Linked DNA regions of Drosophila melanogaster. The protein of the gene in region 2 purifies or fractionates together with the protein of the main gene of each other region. This does not show direct contact. Each region holds a gene or a part of one and is shown on either strand. Other genes may lie near its edges.

What was found. The genes of interacting proteins can lie anywhere in the genome.
Region 1: the proteins of Corp (region 2) and CG7675 purify together in Drosophila melanogaster (affinity purification with mass spectrometry, with the first as the bait; one large-scale study listed by BioGRID). This does not show direct contact.
Region 3: the proteins of Corp (region 2) and CG15717 purify together in Drosophila melanogaster (affinity purification with mass spectrometry, with the first as the bait; one large-scale study listed by BioGRID). This does not show direct contact.

Annotation. Positions count from the first base shown.
Region 1 is NT_033777.3:18,377,154-18,383,054, reverse strand, and holds CG7675 (uncharacterized protein), read left to right. Parts: upstream 1-1,876; 5' UTR 1,877-2,023; intron 2,024-2,318; exon of another isoform or gene 2,319-2,436; intron 2,437-2,700; 5' UTR 2,701-2,701; coding exon 2,702-2,842; intron 2,843-3,690; coding exon 3,691-3,829; intron 3,830-4,087; coding exon 4,088-4,818; 3' UTR 4,819-4,931; downstream 4,932-5,901. Other genes in the region: CG14309 (uncharacterized protein), read left to right, coding at 1-1,106.
Region 2 is NC_004354.4:8,269,218-8,273,480, reverse strand, and holds Corp (companion of reaper), read left to right. Parts: upstream 1-2,071; 5' UTR 2,072-2,218; coding exon 2,219-2,318; intron 2,319-2,614; coding exon 2,615-3,156; 3' UTR 3,157-3,583; downstream 3,584-4,263. Other genes in the region: CG15343 (uncharacterized protein), read left to right, coding at 274-788, 860-986; CG1632 (uncharacterized protein), read right to left, coding at 1,362-1,541, 3,625-4,263.
Region 3 is NC_004354.4:13,126,892-13,135,487, forward strand, and holds CG15717 (uncharacterized protein), read left to right. Parts: upstream 1-2,126; 5' UTR 2,127-2,210; coding exon 2,211-2,297; intron 2,298-2,414; coding exon 2,415-3,086; 3' UTR 3,087-3,145; exon of another isoform or gene 3,146-3,399; intron 3,400-4,101; exon of another isoform or gene 4,102-4,287; 3' UTR 4,288-4,905; coding exon of another isoform or gene 4,906-5,080; intron 5,081-6,040; coding exon of another isoform or gene 6,041-7,545; 3' UTR 7,546-7,674; downstream 7,675-8,596. Other genes in the region: CG32638 (uncharacterized protein), read right to left, coding at 1,360-1,407; MFS10 (major facilitator superfamily transporter 10), read left to right, coding at 4,906-5,080, 6,041-7,545.

The DNA of each region.
Region 1 (5,901 bases), on a different chromosome or scaffold from region 2:
GAGAGAAATCCGAGGAAATACCCACTTACACACGGCTTCCAGAGGGTGATGTCCACCTGAAGCACATTGAGACTGTGGATGGGGAGGTGGAAAACGAAGAGGAACTTGAGCGGGAGGTACCCAAAAAGCGCAGGACCAAGTCCAAGAGTCAGCTAAAGATCATTCAAAGGGAGGACAAAGAGGATGAACAGGAGCAGGAACCGGAGCAAACAGAAGGGCGTCCCAAGTTGCGTCTACTGCCCACGGAATTCTTTGAGGCCCTACCAGCTCCCAAGCAGAACAAGCGATTAAATCTGGGAGCCACCTTGAACTCACTGCTATTTCCGGAACCCTTCTCCAGCAAGGCCACCATGGCCAAGGCTAGTCTGTCCCAAAAACCCAAGTCTGTTGAAGAGTCCGAGCCCGAGGAGGATGTGCAACCGGTGCCAAGTGCTAGAAGGCGTCACTCCAGGCTAGGTCACGTGGCCAACGACTTTTTGCAGGCCCAAAAAGAGCTTGGAAAGCATTTCCTCAGCCACATCAACGAGCATGAACACGAGTTTTCTCTAGGAGATGAGGGCATGCGGGAAAGTTCCCTGGAGTCGGCGAATGTCGGTAGGAAGTCCCTCATACAGGATCATTTTGAGGGAAAGAAGGCAACGCCTACTCTTCATTCGAAATTGCCTCAAAAGCCAGCCGATGAGGGTATCACTTCCTGGTGGGATTTACCAGCTATGAGAAGGCGGCGTGCCGTACTTAACACTAATTCCCTGGCTGAACTGCCCTCCAATGCCATAGACAAGGCAGATCGCGATGAGATGATGCCGCTGGGAAGGTACACCTACTACGAGTACAAGATGGATCACGAGGCAGAGAAGGATGCCAGCCAGCCCAGGGAGGAAAAGGAATCCAAGATCATGAGGATCAGCAGCAAGAATTCGCTGGCCTCTGGTCGTAGTCTGACTAAACTCTCCGAAAGCCTCGTGAGCACTATGAAATCAAAGGTATCTCGCTTCATCAACATCATATCCAACCATATGAACGAATGGTACAACACCTTAACCAAGCACTTGGAAACGGATGCGGAAACCCAACCACCCCGCCGACAAAACAGCATTGAGAAGTAGAATGACTTATATTACCATATGACCTTGTTTAAACTGCCAGCATTATAACCGAATGTAAATATATATTTATTTTCAAACATTACTGCATTCAAAGGAATTATATTTGAGCGATAATTCTAAGGGAATTATATTTTTCAAATAAAGCTATATACAGGACTAAGGCAACGAACTAGACGGGCTTAGACTAAGCTTGTGGTAGATTGTTGAGCATTCTTTATTGTACTTGTGAATATGTCATCTCTATAATAAAATGCATTGAATTGAAAAGAATGTTGATATATTTCAGTGGTATCTCGGTTAATGATATATGAAATGAAAAATAAAATAGATTTTTATCTGACATGTTTATACAATTACCCGTAGTACTTCAAATAGTAATAAAGTCTTGGTCATTAAAAAAGTTAATTACTATCCATTATTATTTTCTACATTATTTCAAGCTCATCATTCGAGCTGCATAACTAGAAAAGAAGCTTTGCGAAGCCCCCGACAGGTGGCTTTCTAGACACACTTTCTTGGAATCCACTACCCAGATCTTTCTCTTACCGCTGGTAACTATGTATTATAGTTTGGCTCCACTCTGTGCTCGCTCTTTCGCTGCGAGTGAACCGTTCATGAAGACGATCCCAAAGAGGAGCCCGGAAAGCCGCTTGGCTAACCTGTTACCATGGCTATAAGTGCAATAACAAAATCACCGCGACCACGGCAATACCAAACCGGTGGAGACGATCGCGCATTCTCCGCAGCCTCGGCTTTATAATCGGAATTCCGACTTCAGTCTCCGATTAGTCGTTCAAGGCGAAGGTTGTGGCACTAGCTCTTGGATCCACCAATTCCATTTCGCAGCGCAGATATAGTCCAAAGTGCAGGTCAGCAGAAGTTGGAATAAATTATAGATCAGCCAACAGCCAAAACAGGTGAGTTTGCACTAAAAAACTCGTCTCCGACTGGCAAAAGTTGAGGAACAAAACCCAAAAACGGGTCACTTCTAGACTTTTTCATACATCTATAGATCTTGTTTCTTTTCGAGACTGCATTGTAGGGCGTGGTTCGGTTGGGGGGGTTCTTAAATGGTGCATGCAAGCGTAACCAGAGCCAGTCTTCGAGTCTTGAGGAAAGCTCTTGGAAATCTTTGTGACGTGGACGGTGGGGGAAAAAAAAAACAAACAGAGAAGAAAAAACCAGAAACTCAAAACGACATGAAACTTCAGACTTTCTTTCTTGTTCAACCTTCTTTCGTTTGGGCTGTCAATGAACTTGGTTGAATGTTATTTTTTTCGGCGTTTCATCATAATAAGCCATAATTACGCACATGTGTGAAAGTGAAAGTGTAAGTTTTCTCAACAGTTTTCGAAATTGATTTATTGACAGTCACTGATAAACGATTTGAATTGTGAAAACCTTCGCCGACTAACCAATATCCCCAAAACCATGAAACCCCAAAACCCAAAACCAAACTCGTTTCGTTATGCCCTAAGACAATCGTCTGGCTTTGGCAGCTTCGGTTATTATATAATCTGATTTGCATGTTGACACCGATATATACGTATATGAAGATACAATATATAGTATACACACCTCGGCATATTTGTAGGATGGGTTTCATCTTCGGTTGGCTGTCGACCGAGCACTATGTGCGCGACATCTTCCTCATGACTTCAGTGGCCGCCATAGTGGCCACCCTGATGAGCATTCGGTTCTATCTGCGCATCACGGCGGGACGATGTTTCACCGAGGTAACGAACGCACCTCACCCAATCCAAAAAACCAAGTCCCATGCTCCCCAGAATCGCGACACGACTCGAATATTTCGCACTTTATATGGCTGTTGCTCCCACTTCCGCTGCGAATTCTTTTCAGATCTTGTAGATGAGCTGTCATATACATACAAATGATGGTGGGATAGTTTACTAAAACAGTATTCGGACACGACCTTAAGCTTATTAATCGCTCAAAACTTTTACAAATTTTATATATTCATATAAATGCGAACTATTCAGATAAACATTACAGATCCATAATTGAAAATGGTTCAGCTTACCGCTCTATAGAAAACTACATATATCACTATCTGGAAAAACCCCATATAATTAAAACGATTCTGTAGCATTCCAAGCATTCCGACTATGGAAATCTTTTAACTATATATGAAATCACCACTAGGAAAACTTAACGTGTTTCAATCTTGTTATTACATTGGTCAGTTGTGACGCGTCGACTTAATTACAGATTAAATTAGATACCTTCTGAGAGGCGAGGTACGTCACATCTCTGAGCTACGATTACCACCTGACCGAACATTGTTCGTATCCCACAAAACATCTAAGCTTCTGGGTATCTCGGTTACAATCTGTGAGATCGCTTACCTCTGATTCACAGAAAGCTCTCAGCACTCGAATGGCAATTAAGCGACCCGTTAATGGGTCTGAAAACTAAGATAGCTTCCGTTCCAGACGAACTGCGATTACTGTGACTGTGAACAAGCGCCAACTAATTAGTATTGTAAACATATTTTCGAACCGCCCTCGTCCAATTTTCGATTGCAGCGCCGTATTAAATGATTAACCTTCGACATTGATTACAGACAAAGATGGAGGGCAAGACAGTCATTATCACAGGCGCCAACAGCGGAATTGGCAAGGAGACGGCCAAGGATCTGGCTGGACGTGGAGCCCGCATCATCATGGCCTGCAGGAACCTGGAGACTGCCAATGCAGTGAAGGGTAAGTGGACCAAGACAATGCCTATGAGGTTATGCCAAGGATCTGGCAGGACATGCAACACGGTCAAATTCCGATAACTGGTCTCATCCAGTTGATTATAGACTCTGGCAAAAACTGCTTACTACCAATGATCTTTTTTTATTAAATATTTACGTTGTAATTACTTTAAAGAAAGTATCTTATAATATGTTGGCGTTGCATTAACCATGTTTTTTTTTACATAACCGAATTTTGTAATTTATTGTTGATTTCCCACAGATGAGATCGTCAAGGAGACGAAGAACAACAAGATCCTAGTCAAGAAACTGGATCTGGGCTCCCAGAAGTCCGTCCGTGAGTTCGCCGCTGACATTGTGAAGACCGAGCCCAAGATCGATGTGCTTATCCACAATGCCGGCATGGCTCTGGCCTTCCGCGGACAGACGAGTGAGGATGGCGTGGAGCTGACCATGGCCACCAATCACTATGGACCCTTCCTGCTGACGCATCTGCTCATCGATGTACTAAAGAAGAGCGCGCCGGCTCGCATAGTCATCGTAGCCTCGGAGCTGTACCGCCTGTCGTCGGTTAACCTGGCCAAGCTCAATCCCATCGGCACTTTCCCGGCTGCCTACTTATACTATGTGTCCAAGTTTGCGAACATCTACTTTGCCCGGGAGCTGGCCAAGCGGCTGGAGGGCACCAAGGTTACAGTGAATTTCCTGCATCCCGGCATGATCGACTCGGGCATTTGGCGTAACGTTCCCTTCCCCCTCAACTTGCCCATGATGGCCATCACCAAGGGATTCTTCAAGACCACCAAGGCCGGCGCCCAGACCACTATCTATTTGGCCACATCCAATGAGGTGGCCAATGTGTCTGGAAAGTACTTCATGGACTGCAAGGAGGCCACCCTTAATGCTGCTGCCCTCGATGAGGAGAAGGGTCTCAAGATCTGGGAGGAGTCCGTGAAGATTGTCAAGCTTACGCCCCAGGATCCCAAAATCTAGACGGGTGTCTGCGGCTGAGAGCCAACGCACAATTTACTGATTTACTTTTCTTGTTTTTAAGGGGGAGTTTACTGTAGCCTAAGTTTTCTCAATAAAAATGATTTTGTATAATTAAATGTGGCTCGTTTTCAATATGATATATTTGCTGTCAGAAAAAAAAGCACATCAAATTTCTGACTATATATAATATATTACAAAGATCTTGGTTGTTATATCGGTTGCTCGTGAGTAAAAGGGTATACTAGAATCAAGACTAGAATATAGTCTGGATCAAGATCAATAGCCGAGTCGATCTGGCCATGTTCCTCTGTCCGTCTGAATGTCGAGATCTCAGGAACTTTAAAAGCTAGAAGGTTGTGATGCAGCATACAGATTCTAGATACATAGACACAGCGCATTCACACTAACTGAGCAACGGGTATCTGTTAGTCGGGGAACTCGACTTCTTATTGGCACAGGATTTCGGCTTGGATTTGCAAGGGGACCGTTTTTGTATTACATGTAATATATATTGACAGTCACTCGATAAATCTTTTGCTAGGTAACTAGATATGACAATTCTGACAAGTTTTGAACTTTTCAACTTATTGCTTCTCGTTATTTATTTTGTAGCTGCAGCTTCTTAGTCAAATGATCTTTAAAAAAGTTCTTCTAGGTATTGAGATATGTTAAAAAAAAAATATAAACCAATTTGCTCTATAAGACATTTTACTAAAAGTAATGAGCGTCCATTCATCCCTCTCCTAATACACATATATTTCAGAAAGAATTATGCAACTACTGGTTACATTTTACCCGTTACTCGTAGAGTAAAATTGTAAAAATATGTAACATAAAGTTGATATATTCTAGATCAGGATCATCCGTATCCGAACGTCGAGATCTTAGTACCTCAATTTTTATTGGTCTTGTGAATTGCTTTCGTTTTGTCACGCCCATGATTACTTTTTTTCTTATTTAATATTAATTACAAATAAGCAAACCTGGTTCACCCTAAAAATTAACAGCCTCTGTAAGCTATAACAGGAGTTACTGTTAAAAGCTGATGTAATAATAATTTTATGTATGGTCTAGAAATTAACT
Region 2 (4,263 bases):
CCGAAAATTGGGAGAATTTGTTTCGTTTCTATGTATCGATAGTAACCGATAGCTTCGCAAATATAACGTGAAATCAACGGCTATCGATTATAGAACCGCTGCAAAGTACTGCGCTTCTGTTACAGTGCTGTTAGCGTTAACAGCGCGCAAAGTGCGCCAAATTTGAATGACAGTACATTACTTCAGTTATAAGGGGCTTTACCAATTAACATTAAATGTGTATTACATTTTCAAAATGTATAAGAATATTTTTCGCTTCAAGGACCCACCAATATGACCTCCTCTTTGGCCAAAATCGAGGACTTTCCCTCCGATCCCGTTGAATTTTTTAAGGAGATCCTTCAGGAAGCTGCCAAGGGACATCCCGATGGATTCATACAGGAAATGAACCTGGCCACCGTGGACGAGGAATTCGGTGTGCTCAACCGCACTGTTCTGTACCGCGGACTCACCCAGGATAACTGTGTGTTCTACATCACCCATCGGTACGTTCGCAACTTCAAGAACCTTCAGGCCAATCCCAAGGCCTGCATCACCTTCTATATGCCAGATGTTAAGGATAAGGCCGGAAATCAGAATGCCTGGCAGGTGAGATTGATTGGAGCCACCGCCGTGGAACTTGACCAAAGCGAAATGGATGCTTTGTGGGCGAAGGAGAATTTGGCTGCCCAAATCAGGGGTCACATCTGTCCCTGTGGAGAACCGATTAACTACGATGATCTCAAGGCAAAGCACGATCAGTTCCTTCTGGATCACAGAGGAAAATCCATCGAGAGACCAGCAAGCTAGTGAGTTTCGAAGTTTATATGTATATCTATATTTAGTAAATTAACATATACATAATTACAACTTCTTCTAGTACCGCTTGGAAATTCCAACCGCAGCGTTGGGACTTCCTGAAGGTGGGTCTCGACCAAATCGCAGACCGGGTGCAGTACCGCCTTCAGAAGGATGGGAAATGGAAATCCATGCACGTGTCCACCTAATTGTGGTATACCCCCAGTAAAGCCATTATCTTGATTTTGGACGATTTCATTTTATTCAACAATATCTTTCTACAAACAGCTAAACGTACAGACTAACAACTAAATTTGCTTCCTTTTCGACATGTTTAACATACAATTACAACATAGTTAATAAATATTACACAAAACAGCAAAAAAAAGGACGTTTAAAGAATACAGTTAGCATAGAGTTACATAGGTTCGAGTAACATTAGAGCAGGTTAGTTACATAGTACATATGCTTAATTGCCTTACTTGCTTTGCTACACACACACATAATACCCAGTGAGTTTCGGTTCCGTTTTCTACACAAATGCGCTGAGGGGCGTGCCGCCGCCCCCTGGTGAACTATCCCGACTATATCGCGCTGATCGTCTCGCGGATCCAGGCGGCATTCGAGGCGATCTTGTCGTACATCCTGGGCCGCTCCACGCCCGTGGGTCCGCACGCGATCCGCCAGGAGGAGACCCCAATGAGCGCCCACTGATTCGTTCCGGGAATCAGGCACTGGACAGGCGCTCCCGAATACTCCTCTTGCTGAAAATGAACAATATGAAATTCAAAATATAATAATAAAATATAATTTTGGTCCACTCTAAAAAATGATATATAGTTTAAATTTTGGTTGCCAACAGTTTCTGTCCACTTTCAAATTAAATATTTTAAAAATAATTTTGTAATATTATAATAGGATCCACTCTGTTTTTTCAATATTTCACCATTGAATTAAACTCGTGCCACCCCAATTGGCGATCGTGACGTCACACGCACGCGACATGCAGCAACGCGCTTGGCGTAGAGCAACAAAAACAAGCAGTCGAAGCAATAACAAAGTTGAATGAGTAATTTTTGCTTCTCTTTTTTACTCTCTCCAATTGCCATTCAATGTGAGCACGAGCGAACACACATAAGCAACCCCCGTTACCTGCGAAGGTTTACCTAGGATAGCAGAAACAACAACTATGAGTGCAGCTGCAGGCAGATAAAAGGAAAAAGGGAGATAGCAAGAAGAAGCAAGGGACACCGCAATAACAAAAAAAAACACATAAAACAGAGTGCCAACTGTTGGCTTGCATTCATTCGATCGGCAACATTCCAAGCGAACGCATCGCTGCGAGAAAAACAGTGCAAAATAATAGAGAGAGTTGAAGAAGGATTACCAGTGTGAAGATCGTTATCAATTTTACTACTATATACGAAAAGAAAACCAAAGGATGGCCGATATCAGGAGCAGCTTGAAGGTTCTCTTCCAGGGCGAGACCAACCTCATCACTTGCGGATCCTCGAACACTTACGAAGAGGTCATCTCCCAAGGTGAGTCACGAAATTTGAATGGAAGAGTGAAATACAGTGGCGTCGTCTTCCAAGCCAATTTAAAATTTAATTCAACAACTAAATTTGCGTGCCTTTGCTTTAAGAACACTGAAAAGTATTGAATCCCATTCACAGCGTTTTCTTTTCCTAACTAAATATCAAAAAAATATTTGTTAAATAAACCTTTCATGAAAATAAAAAGTTTAAAATTTGGAAGACAATAAATTGAAAGTAAATTGTAAAGAATCGGAATCTATTACATTATTCTAATATTAATTGACTGAATTTTTTTCCAGCCATGACCCGCTTCGCCATTCCGGAGACACAAAGGAAAGCCCTCATCCTGACCAACGGCAAGGACTACGTGTTTGAGGCGCATTTGCTGGAGTATTTCCTGCTTTTGTTCCCCTGCCCGGAGATCACCTTTCACCTGAGATTTGACTGGTCAAAGATGCGCCGCAGTCTGGGCCAGACCGAGTCCCTTAAGCGAAAGCGTCTAGTGGATTTGGAGCAAGCCGAGGGTCAGAAGGAGGAGGACCAAGAAAAGGAAGATCCGGTGCCGGAGTACAAGCCGGTGCCGGTCTACCGGATGAATTGCTTCCTGGGATCGCTGCCCACTGCCGGCGCCATTCCTGTGCATCGTCAGAACTGTTTCCTTAGGGAACAGTCGCAGCAGCAGCTGGATGAGATTTCCATACCTCGGCTGCAGGAGGACGATGACCAAAAGGAGCCGCCCAAGAAGCGCCAGCGCGTGGACGTCTGTTCGAAGCCAAGACGCACAGCGTCCACGTCGGTTGGTCCGTCTCCCGTTCCTGTCATGCGCTCGATTCGCATCTAGGTCGCCAATCATGGATTGTACATAGCTCTACTACGTATACGATACTCCAATTAGATGTATTCATAAGCTAAAAGGTTGAACCATTGTTCCTAAGACTTACACTGCAGTAATCGCACCAAACAAACGTCCAAACCAAATGTTATATTATGTAAAAAATAACCATTTTTGTTAATAATTTTAAGCTATGTGAATGAAACATACTTTAGATCCTAAGCAATCTTCTGGCCTATTATGATTTGAGATTTAATTAATCGCCGTAATAAACTTTTTTTTCAAATAAACTAGTTATAAATATAAAATTCAATCCTCTTTTTTATACAAATTACTTTTCATTACGTTGATTATAAATAACTAACTGAACAATTAATTTGTATCCCCTCCTACTCTCAATGAAGTGAATCAGTTTAATAAAGCTAAGTAATATTTTAGAAAATACACTATGCCTTTCCCAATCTTTTGGCTACTCACCGTGCAGTCGTACTTCTGGTAGGTGGCCTCCATGCACATGGAGTTGACGGTCGCAATGGACACATTCTCGCAGGGCGCCATGTCACCCATCTTTAGCTGGACACGCTGCAGGTGATCCCGCTGCCGGGACCAACCGAGTGTATTGCAATTGGTCCAGATTTGCTCCTGGGCAGCCGGAACAGCCGCCAAAATGGGAGCCTTGGTGGCTATGCGGGCGGCGGTGGAGGACGATGTGACCGTGGAGGAGGAGGAGTAGTAATTCACCTGCGGCGCATGATCCGGCAGTGGGTAGCCATCCAATTCTTGGTGCAAAGCCTCCGCTTTGGGCATATAGGAGGCGGCTGATTCGCCACCAAAGTGATCCTCCTGCTCGTCCTGATCCTCATCCCCCTGGTTCTCCGTGGAGCTGTCCTGCTGCTCCTGTGATGGTATCAGGAAGAACTGCTGGTTCTCCTGCGATAATCGACTTCGCTGTTGGCTCACAAGTTGACCCTCCAATCGCTCGGCCACCGGAACATGAGATCTCCTCTGGGCCGGTGGCTGCTGGAGCAGGCGTCTCTGCAGGGCGTCCGGCAGGCAAATGGGTCGCACATGATCCGAGTAACTGACCGGGGTCTCCAGGCGCACCAGTGCCGCCGT
Region 3 (8,596 bases), 4.9 Mb from region 2:
AAACGGAACTTTTCGTCATAACTTCTCTAAAATTTGTCATATAGATAAAAGAATTACCTTTTTGAGCAGCTATTTACCAATACTAACGACGCCAATCATTTTTTGAAGGATTTAGAAAAATTAATTTTTGGGTCAATTTTCGCATTTTTTTGTAAGGGGTAACATCATCAAAATTTGCAAAAAATGGCGAAAAAATAGAATTCTTATATTTGGACACAGTTTAATTGGAAATTTAATTACGAGCTCATTGAGGTATGACATTTCATATTCAGGCAATTAATTTGAAAGTTGTGGCAAAAAAACGGATTTTTTGATCACATAAATTCGGAAAAACAGCTTTTGCCAAAAACGTAATATTTACAAATGGAATTTTTGTCATAAATACGCTAAAAATTGTTATATAGATGAAAAAATAACTGTTTTGAGCAGCAAATTACCAAGGCTAACGTTCCCTATCATTTTCATCGAAGAATTAAGGAAATTTTTGAATACAGTTCGATTTGGTATTTAATAACGAACACAACGAGGCATCTCATTTTATATTTGGACCATTATTTATAATGTTATGGTAAAAAAAACGGATTGTATTATGATAGAAATAACAATATTTATTCTTGGACAGAAAACTGCACAATTGGAAAATGTTTTTAGTGAAACGATGTAATTAGTTTATAAGGTTTTCCCGTAAGCTGTAAATTTCGCTCAAGCAGTTTTATTTCGCCCACACAAGTTGCATTAGTCCAGCTGTACATACAATGTCATTTATGTGTATTTTTTACTTATACATATAACGATGGCATTAATTTACTTATTTTCGTTCTACAACAAGTAATTTATATTTGCCGATATATGTATGTATATGTAGCTATATCCACTTTGAATGCAAAATAAGCATCCAAACACATGTAAGTAAATTTCCAAAAAAAGTTTTTATCTACTTTTCATGGCTTTTATTCCTTAAAAAACAAACACGTATGTTTCATACGCCCAGTTTAATTTTTTGACCGCTTCCGTAAAATTCTTTATCTGTTTCTTCTGTTTATGTGTGCCACCCAGCCAGTTGAACCGCCCTGCTGTTAATATTTTGACCGCAGCTGTACCATATGTTATCTATTTACCCTGTTTATTCTTTCCCCTAATTTAAATGAGACTTTTTCATTTATTCAGAATTTTTATCTGTTTCTTTGTTTTTTTTTTTTTGTCATGAGTTATGAGTTTTCCTAGTCGCCCATTGCTATTTTTATGGCTGCAATTGTTTGTTGGATAAGATGAGGGGGGTGAGTGCAGTGCACTGCTTGCTGGCCAGTGCAGTGCAATAGCGGCATCTCGTCTCCCGCATCGCATGCACTGCTTGCTTACCTTCACACGCACAAAAGGGGATCCCATCAGCTCGTTGAGGTCGGTCATGATGATGTCGCTCTCCTGCTCCTTCTCGCTCGCACTCAAATGCAGTTATTGCAGCGGCTACCGCTCTCTCACTCCCACTCCTGCTGCTGCCACACGCGGCGCAGACAACAACAACAATAAAACACAAAAAAAAATGAGTCGCACAGCTGTTTTGTTATTTTCGTGTGCAACAATTTGCTGAAATCGTTCCACTTTGCGTCTATTTTCACTTGCAATTCACTTTCAATTGGTGCTAAAAGCGCAATAGCTTCACTGTATGAGTGTATCTGTGTGCGTCTGTGCGTGTGTGTGTGTGTGCGCGCACTTGTTGGTCTTCTTTCGTTCTCCAAATGTTCTTGTTGTTGCTGCTGCAATATTTGGCAATCGCTGTTGTTGTTGCTGCCTTTGCACGGGGGCGTCAACAATGAACGGCGAATAACGAGTGATGTCAACAACTATTAGCTAGCCGGGGGCAAAAGTGTTATTTTCTTTTATACGCTGGAAGGCGTCAGCGCAGCAACACGACCAATTGCAATTTAAATTAAAATTGTGATGTGTGGGCCAATGTGACCGGTCGCTGTTCCGCTTATACATGCCAGTTATTATTTCGGTGTGACCGTAGCTATAAAATGCGACAGGCCGTGTTAAATACTGAATAATACCAATAACTGGTATTTTAGTTTATCAGCGATCTTCCTTCTCTGCATGTGAATGTGTGTGTGCGTGTGTGTCTGTTTATGTGCGTGTGTGTATGTTTGCGTGAGCCGCTGATAACGCAGCTGATCGGGCGATTCCATTGAATTCAAGTTTTCAATTCGCAGAGCATGGCCAGCAACTTCACCCAGTCCCAGCCGTCCAGGATCACCAGCTACATGGTCAACCAGCTGCAGCCGACGGCGCAGGAAACGAAGGTCAGTCAGACAATATCGGACATAACCTTGATCTCCTTGGCACACGGATTGTGTCTCAGTGAGATTATCGGAGCACCTACATACATATGTTAAATTCAAAAATGTATCTACTTGCAGTTGGCGCTGATTCCCAGTGCACCCCAGTGGCGCTCCCCCCAGCTGATGGTCGTCTTCGAGGACGGTGATCTGCACTCAGCGCGCCACCAGTTGCTCCAGTCCCTGCAGAATCCCTTTGCCGAGGGATCGGTGGCCACGTTGCTACTCCAGGAGAGCATTGCCGATCAGTTTGTGGGCCTAGTGGCGCAGGATTTGCGTCCGTTGTCGCAGGAGGTGTCCAAGCATCCGAGCTACACCAGCACGCTGGCCAAGATCGAAGAGCTGAAGGCCAAGACAGTACAAGGCGAAAGCCTTAAGGCTGGGGAATCACCCGTCTTGGTGTACGACTGCGTGCACAGCTATCTGGGCAATGGAGCGACGGGAGTGGTGACGGTGCACACATTCCGCACAGCCAAGGAGGCCGGCCAGTTGGCCAAAAGGGATCCCCTACCTTACGGCCAAGTTAGTCTGTGGAATGAGAAGCTGGGCTGCGCCTACGAACTGATACCACGACTACCGAGCGATATTGTGGCCATTAATTGCTTCAATCCGGACTTGGATCCCATCTGGGAATCCTTTGCTGCCGACCGCAACGATGTTCTGCTGGCCAAGAACTATCACTATGAATCGCTGGTGGTGAGCGGCAAACGGAGGATCGTCGTCTTTCCCGTGGGCACCATCTTCGGCAACTGAAGAGTGACAGTTCTGGACTTCGACGGCGACGAATCACATCCGGAAGGAATTACATCCAGGTGCTTTTTAAGCCATACTTTAAAATACCTCTCTAAGCATTTTACATGTAGCTTGGGGCATCCTTTTCGACAGTTCAATTGGAATTATATCGAACTAAATTAGGAGTTATGTCAAACAACTAGCATTTAATGTGGCTTAACTTAGAAATTATCTGATTTTGCAACCATCATAATATTCCAATTGTATTGCGAAAAGGTCCTTGAGTCTGAATTGTTTTTTTGATACTCTGTCAATAATTGTCCACTGAAAAATCATCAGCCAACTTTTATGCATCTGTGGGAATTTGGGGTAGGTCCACGAATCTCTGCATGCAACAGGCATTTTTTCAGGACATGCGCAAGTGCTGCTCCAGAAATAGAAATCCTGCAAAGCAGTTTAAATGGAAGCAGTTGAAGGGCACACTCATACACTTGGGGCCAAAATAATAGCGCTCATTTTAGTAAACTTAACATACTATGAAGTAAATGAACCATTTAACTGATAAACTGGTAATGATTTCAATGAAAATTTTTAAAAGAACATTTTGTTTTGTGCGAGCTACGCAGCGATCGATCAACTTAACCCTTTATCTTATCTATTTCATTGTAAACGGACAACAAATATGGAAAAATTTCCAGATGTAGAAATGTACATACTATGTGTGGAATTTAGGTTTTTGCTCATTTCTTTTGTTCTCTAACTAGAGCCTGCTTGAATTGACTTACATACATTAAAAGAGCTTGGCTACTTAAACGTAGCTATTGTGTTAGCCTGAGTTGTTTGAGTGTGCGTGTATTTGTGTTGGCAACTAAAGTATACTTTGCCTTTCTCTCCTCGTTGTTTTTATTCTCAAGATTTTAGTACAAATTCCCTTTTTGATTTCGACTATCTGGAAATTAGTTTTGTTTTATTGTTTTTATTTTCTTACAAATAGTAATTTTTCAGTGCTGGCAAATATACCATATCGCCGTTTATAGTTTGTGTGTGTGTGTAAACTAACTGTAACTAAACAAAGATAGTATACTTAAGTTAGTTCACAACAATACAATTCACACTGCACTCTCTTCTCTTCTCGCACATCACCCCCTTTCTCTTTGGCCCTCTCTAATGCTCTCTCTCTCACCCACTCTCTTTCGTTCTTGCATCCCCTTCTGTGACGTAGCGCCGCACCATTCATGCTCCACTTTCACACGGGAGAGAGCGAGAACGCCACAGAGCCAGCCATTAGAGAGGGAGCGAGCTGTGGTGACTCCAAACGCAGTGGCGCAGCAAAAGGGGCAACTAAACAATGACTGAAATTCCCAAAGAACTACGCCATCATTCTATCGCCAGAAAGTATTTACTCTTCTCACTCGAGGAATCCCCTCTGTGATTTTGGCTCGCCACCCCACAACTACGCCACTGTTACCCCTCTTGTGGTTAGAAGCTACGTTTGCTGGCGCTGCCTTTTGCTTAGGTTTGTTGTTGCGCTGTCCGTTGCCCGTTGCCATTTGCCAGTCCGTCAGTCTGCGCTGGTTCCCGCTGGCGTGGTGAGGTGTCCGCTCGCGTTGCCGCTCCCGTTCCCGCTCCCGCTCACACGGCTCTTGATTTTGGTGGACAAGCAAACCGCTTCCGCCACCGCTGGCGATACAAATACAATAACTACACTACAGCTGCCGCTCCGGCAGAGAAAATGCGTTGGCAGTTGCAGTTCCAAACGCTCAAAAGACGCTCGAAAAGCACAGACCGCCAAGCACCAACATCTCCAATCGGAATCCACGAAACCAAATAGAGCGCCACGATGCCACCGCACAAATGGACGGACGAGTCGCGGGACGCCTCCTGTTACTACGATCCATCCACCTCCTCCAATTCATCCGCCTCGGCGGAGCGCTCCGACGACGAAGCGGACGACGAACGGGAGGCGTTTTGCTCCGGCGAACGACCGCTAATCCGCTCCAGCGGCGCTGCGGAGGGTGAGTAGCTACAAGATACACAGATGGGGAAAGATATTTACCTAGCTATAGCATATGTAGGTGGAGCAACGTAGATATGCGTATTACAAGCTCAAGATACCTTTATTTATTTAAATCTTTAGTGCTATTTCTGCTTCATATTGATTTGCATTTATGTATTGTACATACATATGTCCTGGGTCAGTACTTTTATTAAACATAAACTCTCGGAATATCTGTGTAAAAAAAAACAGTACTCAACGCAAAGATACTTTTTGTTGTAAACAAATTTCATTTTACGTATATCCAAGACACTCTAAAATTGTATCTTTCAATTTATAATAATTCTCATTTAATCTTAAAGTAAGATATTATATGGCTTATAGATTTCAATAACTAATAAAAATAATTAAAATGTTTTTATACATATAACATAACATACATATAATATAAAATAACCTAATAATTACGCATAAATTTTAATTTTCACGTAATACTATCCAGTTATCCAGTTAACAGCCTATGCCTATGTATAATTTATTCGCCAAGGGCCGAAATTACGACTTGTTTACATTTACTGATATGAAGCGAAGTTTTTCTGAACTTTATAGAACAGTACAAATCTGCATTTCAAATGGAACGGAGGGCCGATAACTTTTTCGATGGTATCAGATCGTAATATTTTTATTTTAGATTTTATACTTGAGCGATTCCTATGAACAAGTATCTGAAAAGAAATTAAATTCACTGGCAATGGCATCTCATGTAAACATTTCTAAAGGAATAAAAAAGTGAAGAAATTGAGGCAATTTAAACTATGCAATGATAACACATTGAATGGTATTTAGGGATTTTCAGTGTAACATTGGGCCTTATCGAGAACGGCGAGAACTTTTAAGTAAAACCGGAACTGATATCGTTATTACGCCTCCTAAACCATAGCTTACTAACCATCCACTCTCTCCTCTCTCCACCCTGCAGAAAACCATGGCTGTGGCCCAAAGACGCGTCACATTTTCGGATTCATGGGCTTCCTGGGATTCGCCGTGGTCTACGCGATGCGGGTCAATCTGTCGGTGGCCATTGTGGCCATGGTGAACCAAACGGCAATTCCGCACAGCAACTCATCGGTGATTGATACGGACACGTGTCCACTACCGGCACCACATCACAATGGTAGCGATCCCAATCCGCAGAAGGAGGGCGAGTTTGTGTGGGACGAGGCCACGCAGGGATTGGTGCTCGGCAGTTTCTTCTATGGCTATGTGCTAACCCAAGTGCCCGGCGGACGGATGGCCGAGCTGTATGGTGGGAAGAAGATCTACGGCTATGGAGTGTTGATCACGGCGGTCTTTACGCTTATAACTCCATTGGCTGCCCACTGGGATCTGCCGCTGTTGGTCCTGGTCCGCATCCTGGAGGGAATGGGCGAGGGCGTCACCTATCCAGCTATGCACGCCATGCTTGCCCACTGGATACCGCCGCTGGAGAGGAACAAGTTCGCCGCAATCGTCTATGCGGGCTCCAATATCGGAACAGTCATTTCCATGCCGCTGGCCGGATGGCTGTGCTCGCTGGACTTCCTGGGTGGCTGGCCGTCGGCTTTCTACATCTTCGGACTGTTGGGCATTCTGTGGTTCATCGCATGGATGTATTTGGTGTACGACAAGCCTAGCGATCATCCCAGGATCTCAGAATCGGAGCGAGAGTATATCGAAAGGAGTCTACAGGTTCAGAGGCTAATAAATCAGGATCTAGCGGAGGCCGAGGAAGAGGAGGGACAGGATGAAGTGAGTCTGCGGGCGCCGCCGGAGGAACCGATACCCTGGTCATCGCTGCTCACATCCGTACCTCTGTGGGCCATCTTGTTGACGCAATGCGGCCAGGGATGGGCCTTCTACACGCAGCTAACCGAGCTGCCCACCTACATGAGCAACATCCTACACTTTGACATCCAGTCGAATGCTCTGCTCAATGCGGTGCCGTATCTAACCTCCTGGTTCGTGGGCATTGCCTGCTCCGCCCTGGCGGATTGGATGCTAGCCAGACGCTACATATCGCTGCTGAACTCGTATAAGTTGTGGAACACGGTGGCCTCCGTGGTGCCATCACTGGGCCTGATTGGCATCATCTATGTGGGCTGCGATTGGGTGTGGGTCACCTTTATGTTGGCCGGCGTGGGCTCTTTCGGCGGCGCCGTCTATGCTGGCAACCAGATGAATCACATAGCGCTCAGTCCACGATATGCAGGCACCATGTATGGCATCACCAATTCGGCGGCAAATATCTGTGGCTTCCTGGCTCCGTATGTCATCGGTCTAATCATCAATCATCGCGAGACTCTGACACAGTGGCATCTGGTCTTCTGGCTGGCGGCGGGCTTGAATATAGCCGGTAACTTCATCTACCTGATCTTCGCCAGCGCCGAGGAGCAAAGCTGGTCGAAGACACCACCCACACGCAACTCACGATCCCAGCGCGCTTGAAGCAAGCCTAACTATACGCTATTTTAGCTAGATCATAAGCATTTGTGATAATTCCGATATATACACATATATCCTACATATGTATTTGGGCTCGAAGTTTTCCGGATGCAGGACAAGAATGTGGCTTCCAAAAAGAAAAAAAAAAAACGAAACGAACGAAACTAGTGCTACCAAATCGGAATGGAAAATCGAAAGGATGTTAACTGTTTTAGTGTATTATATACGTGTATCGTCCTTTTATATGGACTTTTGTTTTGCTAGGCGTCTTTTTTTTGTAAACAATTATACCAATACCAACTATATATATATATACATATATATTTATATATCTATCATATACACGCTCGAAGGCACGTAGATCTGTCGAAATAAACAGCACAAACATATCGAACTGTGGCACCTGATTTAAGCATTTTATTCTTTAACTGGCAGGTGGTTTTCGTGTATCCGACTAAGTAATACCTCTTCATTGGAGAATTATGATTTGATGGGTTATTTATTTTATGCAGCTACTAGAGTCTTGGATTTTTAAAACACTTTTAGGCTTTTCATGTTTTTGAAGGCTGTAAAAATGTTGCATAATTTCAGGGGCGAAGTGTTCATGTCAAATTATGCCTAAAACATAAATGGGGTGTATAAAAAGTATCTCAAAATAGTGAGTAATACTTTGGTAGTAAAATGTTTGTGCGTAGAAACGATAATATATAATTAAGAAAGATTAAAGCAATACAATACCTTCTTCATTTTACAGCTTTAAATCTTAATTTTAAAGGTTTCTTATATTATGATTTAGAAATACGAATAGAATACCTTCGATAAAGCTCTGTCTTTGGTTCTTTTAGTAACTTTTCGTAGGTTTAAATGTTACAATGTTAAATGTTAATTTTCTAAATAAGTTCATTTAAACAATATGCATCCGAGATTTTGTCGCAGCCTCAGTTTTCGTTTATGATTTCAGTTTTCGGTTTCGTCGTGATTATCGTGGCATAGTTTTGGCCCCTGTCCGTCCGTAAATCTGTCCGTCCGTTGACGTGAGGCGTCTCTGGCTGGG